2 linked regions of the Lonchura striata genome follow. The protein of the gene in region 1 binds, or shares a complex with, the protein of each later gene. Links are inferred from orthologs where the notes say so. Each region holds a gene or a part of one and is shown on either strand. Other genes may lie near its edges.

What was found.
Region 2: PRKG1 (region 1) and CNN1 share a complex: the UniProt entries of both Homo sapiens proteins name them as parts of the cGMP kinase signaling complex. The link is inferred for Lonchura striata from reciprocal best matches to the Homo sapiens genes PRKG1 and CNN1.

The regions. Positions count from the first base shown.
Region 1 is NC_134609.1:37,896,561-37,900,461, forward strand, and holds the start of PRKG1 (cGMP-dependent protein kinase 1), read left to right. Parts: upstream 1-1,030; 5' UTR 1,031-1,102; coding exon 1,103-1,413; intron 1,414-3,901. UniProt on the Homo sapiens protein: Serine/threonine protein kinase that acts as a key mediator of the nitric oxide (NO)/cGMP signaling pathway. GMP binding activates PRKG1, which phosphorylates serines and threonines on many cellular proteins.
Region 2 is NC_134623.1:1,329,903-1,333,803, reverse strand, and holds CNN1 (calponin-1), read left to right. Parts: upstream 1-1,043; 5' UTR 1,044-1,089; coding exon 1,090-1,124; intron 1,125-1,506; coding exon 1,507-1,573; intron 1,574-1,662; coding exon 1,663-1,800; intron 1,801-2,384; coding exon 2,385-2,495; intron 2,496-2,576; coding exon 2,577-2,723; intron 2,724-3,559; coding exon 3,560-3,796; 3' UTR 3,797-3,893; downstream 3,894-3,901. UniProt on the Homo sapiens protein: Thin filament-associated protein that is implicated in the regulation and modulation of smooth muscle contraction. It is capable of binding to actin, calmodulin and tropomyosin. The interaction of calponin with actin inhibits the actomyosin Mg-ATPase activity.

The sequences.
Region 1 (3,901 bases):
GGTTTTTATCACTGGCTCCTCCAGACTGGAACCCCCAAAACCAGCTCACAGCTCCCTGTTTCTTCCCCAGAGAGCCAAGGCTGGAGCTGTGCTCTCGGGGTGAGCATTGCTGGCCCTTCAGCGCCTGGCAAATGGAAGAACCCAGAATCATTTGGCACCGAGGACTTGGCCACTGTGGCTCATTTATTTGATTGTGTTATTTCTGTGCTGCAGCCCCGTGAGCTGTGTGGCAGAGGTAGGGCCACACAGAAAACCTGTGTGCGTGAAGGAAAACCCTGCACTCCGGGGAAGTCTGATCAGTTTGGTACAGCAGAAACTTGGGCTTTCACATGGGTATTTGGGCCAGGCAGAAAATCTCCCAGATTTTAAGTTAAGGGCTTTTTTTTCAGTGCTCTGAAAGCCAGATGCCCTGCCTCCAGGCTTTTCCAGTGCAGACAGACTTGACCGATATTCCCATGAAAATCTGGGTTTTTGGAACCCGGAGCTTGCTGAGGCTTGAGGAGGAGCCATGCCAGACGCTGGCTTGTGCTTCCACTCGGGGAAGACAACAAAACCCGTCTCTTTAAAAGCAAAGTAAAGGGGGGATAAGTTCTTTGAGGAGAACTGGCACCTTGAGCGGAGCAGAGGGAGCAGGACGGGAGGTCCGCGGCTCGGACCTGTGTGCTGGCTTCCAGCAAAAGGCCGGGAGGGCAGGCACCGGGAGCTGCTCCCGGCCGGCCCCCTCCTTCCTCGGCAGCCCGCGGGGCGTGGGCGGCGCGGGGCGCGGCGGGGCCGGCGGGAGGGAGCGGGGCGAGCATGTGCATCCTCCCGCCGCCCCTGCCTCCCTCCCCGCTCGCCGCCGCGGGTGTGTGTGTGTATGTGTGTGTGTGTGTGTGCATCTCGGCTCCCTCGCCAGCCCGGCCTGACGCAGGCGGATCCACATCGCCCCTGACAACACCCCGGCTCCGGAGCGCCGTGCCGGGGGTCCGGCTGCGGCGGCGGCCCCGCGGGGCCGGGCCGAGCCCAGGGGGGCGGCGGGGGCCGGGGTGGCCCGAGCGCAGGGAGGCGGCCCCGGGGGGGAAAGTTGCCGGGAGCGGCGAGGGGCGAGCGCGGCGGCAGGACCATGGGCACTTTGCGGGATTTACAGTACGCGCTGCAGGAGAAGATCGAGGAGCTGCGGCAGCGGGATGCGCTCATCGACGAGCTGGAGCTGGAGTTGGACCAGAAGGACGAACTGATCCAGAAGCTGCAGAACGAGCTGGACAAGTACCGCTCGGTGATCCGGCCCGCCACGCAGCAGGCGCAGCAGCAAAGCGCCGGCACCTTGCAGGGCGAGCAGCGGACCAAGCGCCAGGCGATCTCGGCCGAGCCCACCGCCTTCGACATCCAAGATCTCAGCCACGTCACCCTCCCCTTCTACCCCAAGAGCCCGCAGTAAGCAGGGGGTCACCCCGCCGCTCAGCCTCCCCTCTCCCTCATCCCGCTCCATCCCCGGCCTCGCCGCCGCCCGCCGGGCAGGGAGCGGAGCGCGGCATTCCCGCATCCTCCCCGGGTGGCCCCGCGGGGTGGGAAAGTTGCGAGCGCCGGGTTTGCGAGGGGGGAAGAGCGGCAGGAGTGAGCGCCGAGGTGCCAGCGGAGCGGGGCGCCCGGCTCCGACAGCCCGTCCCGGCTGCGGGGGGACCCGGCCCCCATCCCTGCGGGGGACGGTGCTGCCGGCGGGTTGAACCGGATCGCGTCGTGGGCACGGCGGCTTCGTCGCTGCGGGAGGGAGCGGGAGAAAGCCGGGGCTCGCTGCGGGACCCCGCAGGGAGACATTCCCAGCTGGGAAACTTGGAGGCCGGCGGGATGCGGTGCCCGGCTCTCCGGGAGGGGGCTGGTGTTTTGGGGAGGGGAGTCTGGCAGAAGCAGGAGCTTATTGCAGTGTCCGGGTGTGCGGGGGGCAGGGAAAGTTGCGGGGATCCTCAGGTGCCAGCGCGCCGGGGGATGCGCTGCCCCGGTTTCACACCTGCCGCAGATTAGGGAAATTAGAGCGCCTTAATGGGGAAGCGGAGCCCTCCCTCGCTCCGTGCCTTTCCCTGGCCGGTACGTCTCCGTGCCTTTGGTTCAGCGCTCCTCAAGGGATGAAAAAGGAGGAAGGAAAAGGTGATGAGCGGATGCTCGCCGCGCCGGGCTCCATGTGCGGGGCCGGGGCGCAGCCTCCCCGTCGGTGGGGCTGCCAAACCCTTCCTCCCCTCCGCGGCCGGCGTCTTCCTCGCGGGATGGTAACGGGGAGCGGAGCCGGTAGTGCGGGGCGTGTGGGACGGGGCGGGCGGTGGCGGGGCACGGTGGCGGGGACCGTGCCGGGGCTGGCCCGCTCCCCGCGCAGCCTCAGCCCTTCCCGCCGCCATGGCGGGCCCCGCCGTCTCCAGGCAACTGCCCGCCCTCAGGACGGCCGCCATGGCCGGACCCCGCCGCGCCGGGCCTCGTGTGCCCCTCCTGCCGCTCGCTCCCGCCACATCCCATTCCCACTTTGCCGTGCCCGCCCCCCATTCCCACCGCCACAGATATTTTGCCCTTTTAAGGCGTCCGGCCGCGCCGTTCTGAAGGATGTCAGGGGACGAACGGCGGTGGCGCCCGCAACGCCTCCCCTGCACCCCCAAAACGAGTAAAACACCCCAAAAAGTGAGCTGGCAGCACACGGGGGGCTGCGGTGGCGGAGGCCAGGCGGGCGAGCGGTCTGCGGAAGCCCTGGGGTGCGTGGTGAGCACCCAAGGTGGGATAAGGCATCCCACGGTGTTCATTTCCCCTGGGAACGCAAAGCCCCACACGGGTTGGTTTCCTTGTCGGCGCTCTCGAAGTGCGAATGGAGCTCCCAGAACTCCGGGAAGCGCCACAGGTTTCAGCAGAGCCAGTCCGCAGCCTCTGCCGTCCCCACTGAAATAGGTGGGAAGCCTGGCAAAAGCCTTGGGGGAACGTTTTCCAGCTGGAATTTTCAGCGCTCCTTGTATGCATGCAGTTCTGCGGTCTGGTGTGGGGTGTAATGCCCAACTCCTCCGAGGCGGTGTTTCATATTGATTATCTCTGAAGTCCAAGACTTCTAATATTATTAACAATTTTGATGTCAACTTGTGCTTTCAGGTTGTAATCACTCAGGTGGGACATTCTGGGGGTTCGGAGCAGCCCAGGATAGTGGAAGGTGTCCCTGCCCAAGGCAACAGGCTGGAATGAGAGAGCTCCTAGGGTGCCTTCCAACCCAAACCAGTCTGTGATTACAGGAAAAGATCCTTGCTAATGGTTTCAGGAGTGTACGTGGCTCTGGGAGACGTTGAGCGCTCTGTGTCAGCCCTAAGAGCCTGGTGACCAAGATAAGCTACTGTGGTGGTGAGGTTTAAGGTGGTGGGAACCTGGGAATAACAAAACCTGCACAAAAGGGTTGGGTTTTTTTCCCCCCCTGTTCGTGCTGAACCTCAGTGACTCTTGAGGTAATGGCACCCAACCTTTGGTTTTGTCAAGCCACCAAGAAGTGTTCAAAAGGCCGGTGGATGTGGCACTTGGGGATATTGGTTAGTGGTGGCCTTGGAAGTGCTGGGAGAGTGGTTGGACTTTATGATTTTAGAGGGGTTTTCCAATCAAGGTAATTCTAAAGTAGACTCTGTATTTTTTTTTTTTTCTTTTTTTTTTTTTGTAGTTAGGTGGTGCTGGATTAGCTCTCCTGATCTGGCAGAGGTTGCTGAAGATTGGTAGGATCAATAGCAGCAGAAACTCTCTGGGAACTGAATTATCATGAGAGTCACAGTAGGTACTTGAGGGTCTGTGGTGGTGAAAGCTGTTGTGATGCCACACAGAAGATTCTGTGTTGTAGAGTGGCTGAATTCTGAATGGGTGTAAGAGAGCTTGAGAGGGATTTGGGACAGCACACAGGGAATGGTTTCCCAGTGCCGGA
Region 2 (3,901 bases), on another chromosome or scaffold:
CCGGGACTGAGGAGGCCACGGGGCGACACCGGAACGGAGCGGGCGGACCCCGGGACGCCCCCCACGAGCACCGGGTGGCGTCCCGCCGGTGTCCGCCCCGTTAAGGGTTAACGGGGGCGGTTCGGGTGGCCCGGGGGGGCCCCGCGGCGGGCGGGAGATACCGGACACGGCGGGGGGATGGACACGGCGGGGGGGGGGTCCCGCCGCGCACCGGCCCGTTAAGGGTTAACGGGGGGGGATCGGCGGCCCGGGGGGGGCCCGGCGGCCCCCGGCCCCGCCGTGAGCCCTTATAAGGCGGCGGAGCGCGGCGGGCGGGCGGCGGCGGCCCCGGGCCGGGGCTATATATGGGCAAAGGTTCGGCCGGCCCGGTCGCCCGCGGCTCCCGGGGGGGCCGGGCGGGGCGGGGGGGGGTCCGGGCTCCCCCGGCCCTCCCGGCTCCCTCCGGCCCCGCGGGAACGGGGGAACCGGGGCCAGCGGGGATCCCGCGTCCCCAGTGCGGCCGCCGCCTCTTCCCTGAGGGTGTCCCCGCCTTGGGGTGTCCCCAGTGTCCCCTCCTTGGGGTGTCTCCAACGTCACATCCTTGGGGTGTCCCCACTGTCACCTCCTTAGGGTGTCCCCTCCTTGGGGTGTCCCCATTGTCCCTCCTTGGGGTGTCCCCACGTTCCCCGTCTGTGTCCCCGTGCCGGTGTCCCCGTGTCCCCCGCGGTGTCCCCGCACCCTCCGTGGCCTCGGCGCAATGTCCCCCGTGTCCCCTCGTCCCCGTGAGGGTGTCCCCGACATTCTCCGTGCCACCACGTCCCCCTGGCGGAGTCCCCCTGTCCCCCCGACGGTGTCCCCGTGTCCCGTGTCCCCTGTCCCCGTGTCCCCTGTCCCCATGTCCCGTGTCCCCGTGTCCCCATGTCCCGTGTCCCCCCGGCGGTGTCCCCATGTCCCGTGTCCCGTGTCCCCATGTCCCGTGTCCCCCCGGCGATGTCCCCATGTCCCGTGTCCCTGTCCCCGCAGCTGGCCCAGAAGTACGACCCGCAGCACGAGCGGGAGCTCCGTGCCTGGATCGAGGGGACCACGGGGCGCCGGATCGGGGACAACTTCATGGACGGGCTCAAGGACGGCGTCATCCTCTGCGAGTACGACCCCGTGCGACCCCCGGGACCCCGTGCGACCCCCGGGACCCCCACCGGGACCCCGTTCAACCCCCGGGACCCCGCTGGAACCCCCGGGACCCCGTGCGACCCCCGGGACCCCGCTGGGACCCCGGCTGTGTCCCCGGCTCTGTCCCCGCGGGCTGGGACCGGCCCCGGTCCGGAGGGTGAATTTTAACCCATTCCTCACCCGGGCTGACCCCGAGCCTGCTGAGCACAGCCCCCCAACCCCGCCGTGCCTGTCCCCCACACCCCGCTCCTGGCCGGGCTCTGGGGTCACCCAGGGGTCACCCAGGGGTCACCCAGGGGTCACCCCGGGGTCACTCTGGGGTCACCCCCTGACCCCACCCGTGCTCGGCCCCTCCAGGCTCATCAACAAACTGCAGCCGGGCTCGGTGCCCAAGGTGAACGAACCCGTCCAGAACTGGCACAAGGTGAGGGGACCCCCCAAAACCGGGGCTGGGGGCGGCTCTGGGGGGGAGGATCTGACCCCGAACCCCGCCCCGACTCCCCCCGCCCGCAGCTGGAGAACATCGGGAACTTCCTGAGGGCCATCACGCGCTACGGGGTGAAGCCCCACGACATCTTTGAGGCCAACGACCTCTTCGAGAACACCAACCACACCCAGGTCCAGTCCACGCTCATCGCCCTCGCCAGCCAGGTCAGCTCCCGGGGGTCCTGGGGGGGGCCGGGGGTCCGGGGGGCTCCTGGGGGTCCTCGTGTCCCCTCAGAGGACACCGGCCACACGCTGGGGGGGATCCAGAGCGGGGATTTGGGGTCTGGAGAGGAGATTTGGGGTCTGGGGAGGGGGTTTGGGGTCCAAGGAGGGGATTTGGGTCCAGGGAGGGTATTTGGGGTCTGAGAAGGGGATTTGGGGTCTAGAGAGGGGATTTGGGGTCCAAGGAGGGGATTTGGAGTCTGAGGGAAGAATCTGGGGTCCAGGGAGGGTATTTGCAGCCTGGGGAGGGGATTTGGGGTCCAGAAAGGGGATTTGGGGTCCAAGGAGGGGATTTGGGGTCTGGGGAAGGTGTTTGGGGTCCAGAGAGGGGATTTGGGGTCCAAGGAGGGGATTTGGAGTCTGGGGGAAGAATCTGGGGTCCAGGGAGGGGATTTGGGGTGTAGGGAAGGAATTTGGGGTCTGGGGAAGGAATTTGGAGTCCAAGGAGGGGATTTGGGGTCCGGGGAGTGGATTTGGGGTCCGGGGGTCCCCGTGAGGCCCCCCCCCAAGCCCACGGTCTCCGCCAGGCCAAGACAAAGGGGAACAAGGTGGGGCTGGGGGTGAAATACGCCGAGAAGCAGCAGCGGCGCTTCCACCCCGAGAAGCTGCGCGAGGGCAGGAACATCATCGGGCTGCAGGTGACACCCGGGGACGCTGGGGGGACACGGGGGGGGCGTGCTGGGGACAGCTGGTGACACCGTGGCCGTCGCTGTCCCCAGATGGGCACCAACAAGTTCGCCAGCCAGCAGGGCATGACGGCGTACGGGACACGGCGGCACCTGTACGACCCCAAACTGGGCACGGACCAGCCCCTGGACCAGGCCACCATCAGCCTCCAGATGGGCACCAACAAAGGCGCCAGCCAGGTGGGGACACGGGGACACTGCCAGCATGGGGGGACACGGGGACACTGCCACTCCATGGGGACACTGCCAGCATGGGGGACACGGGGACATGGGGACACTGCCACTCCACAGGGACACTGCCAGCATGGGGGGACATGGGGACATGGGGACACTGCCAGCACAGGGGACACTGCCACTCCATGGGGACACTGCCAGCACGGGGGACACGGGGACACTACCACTCCACGGGGACAGTGCCATCCTACAGGGACATTGCCACCATGGGGGGACACTGCCACCCCATGGGGACACTGCCACCCTACAGGGACATTGCCACCATGGGGGGACACTGCCACCGCATGGGGACACAGGGAGAGATGGCACCAGGGGACTTGGATGTCCCGGGTTAGGGGGACAAAGGGAGCGGAGAGCCCGCGGGCAGCGGGGACAGACAGAGCCGGGGACCCTGAGGTGCCACCGGCCCGGCCGGTGGCCCAGGCAGCCCCGGGGACAGCGGAGCAGGGGACAAAGGGGCTCTGAGGGGGGCACAGAGGGACTCTGGGGACAGGGAGGGGACAGACACCCTGCGGGCAGCACGGGGAGCAGAACGGAGGAACCCCCGAGCATCCCCCCACAGCCCCGGGGTGGCTGTGAGCCCCTCGGGGTGCCCGCGGCCACCGCCCGAGCCGGTCCCTGACCGGAGCCGGTTCCTGCCCCGAGCCCGTTCCTGACTGGAGCCAGTTCCTGCCCTGATCCCATCCCTGCCCCGAGCCCGTCCCCGTCCCGATCCCGTCCCTGCCCCGATCCCGTCCCTGCCCCGATCCCGTCCCTGACCGGAGCCCGTTCCCGCCGGCCAGGCGGGGATGACGGCGCCGGGGACGAAGCGGCAGATCTTCGAGCCGGCGCTGGGCATGGAGCACTGCGACACGCTGACCATCGGGCTGCAGATGGGCAGCAACAAGGGCGCCTCGCAGCAGGGCATGACGGTGTACGGCCTGCCGCGCCAGGTCTACGACCCCAAGTACTGCGGCGGCCCCGAGCTGCTGGGCCACGACGGCCTCGACGGCCACGACGGCCTCTACAACTCCCAGTAGCCGCCGGCCCGCGGCCGCTTGCACCCCAACACCGCTCGTCACCGGCCTCACCGCGCCCCGCCGAGCCGCCACCGGGGCTGGCACCGGGGGCACCGGCCCCGGGAT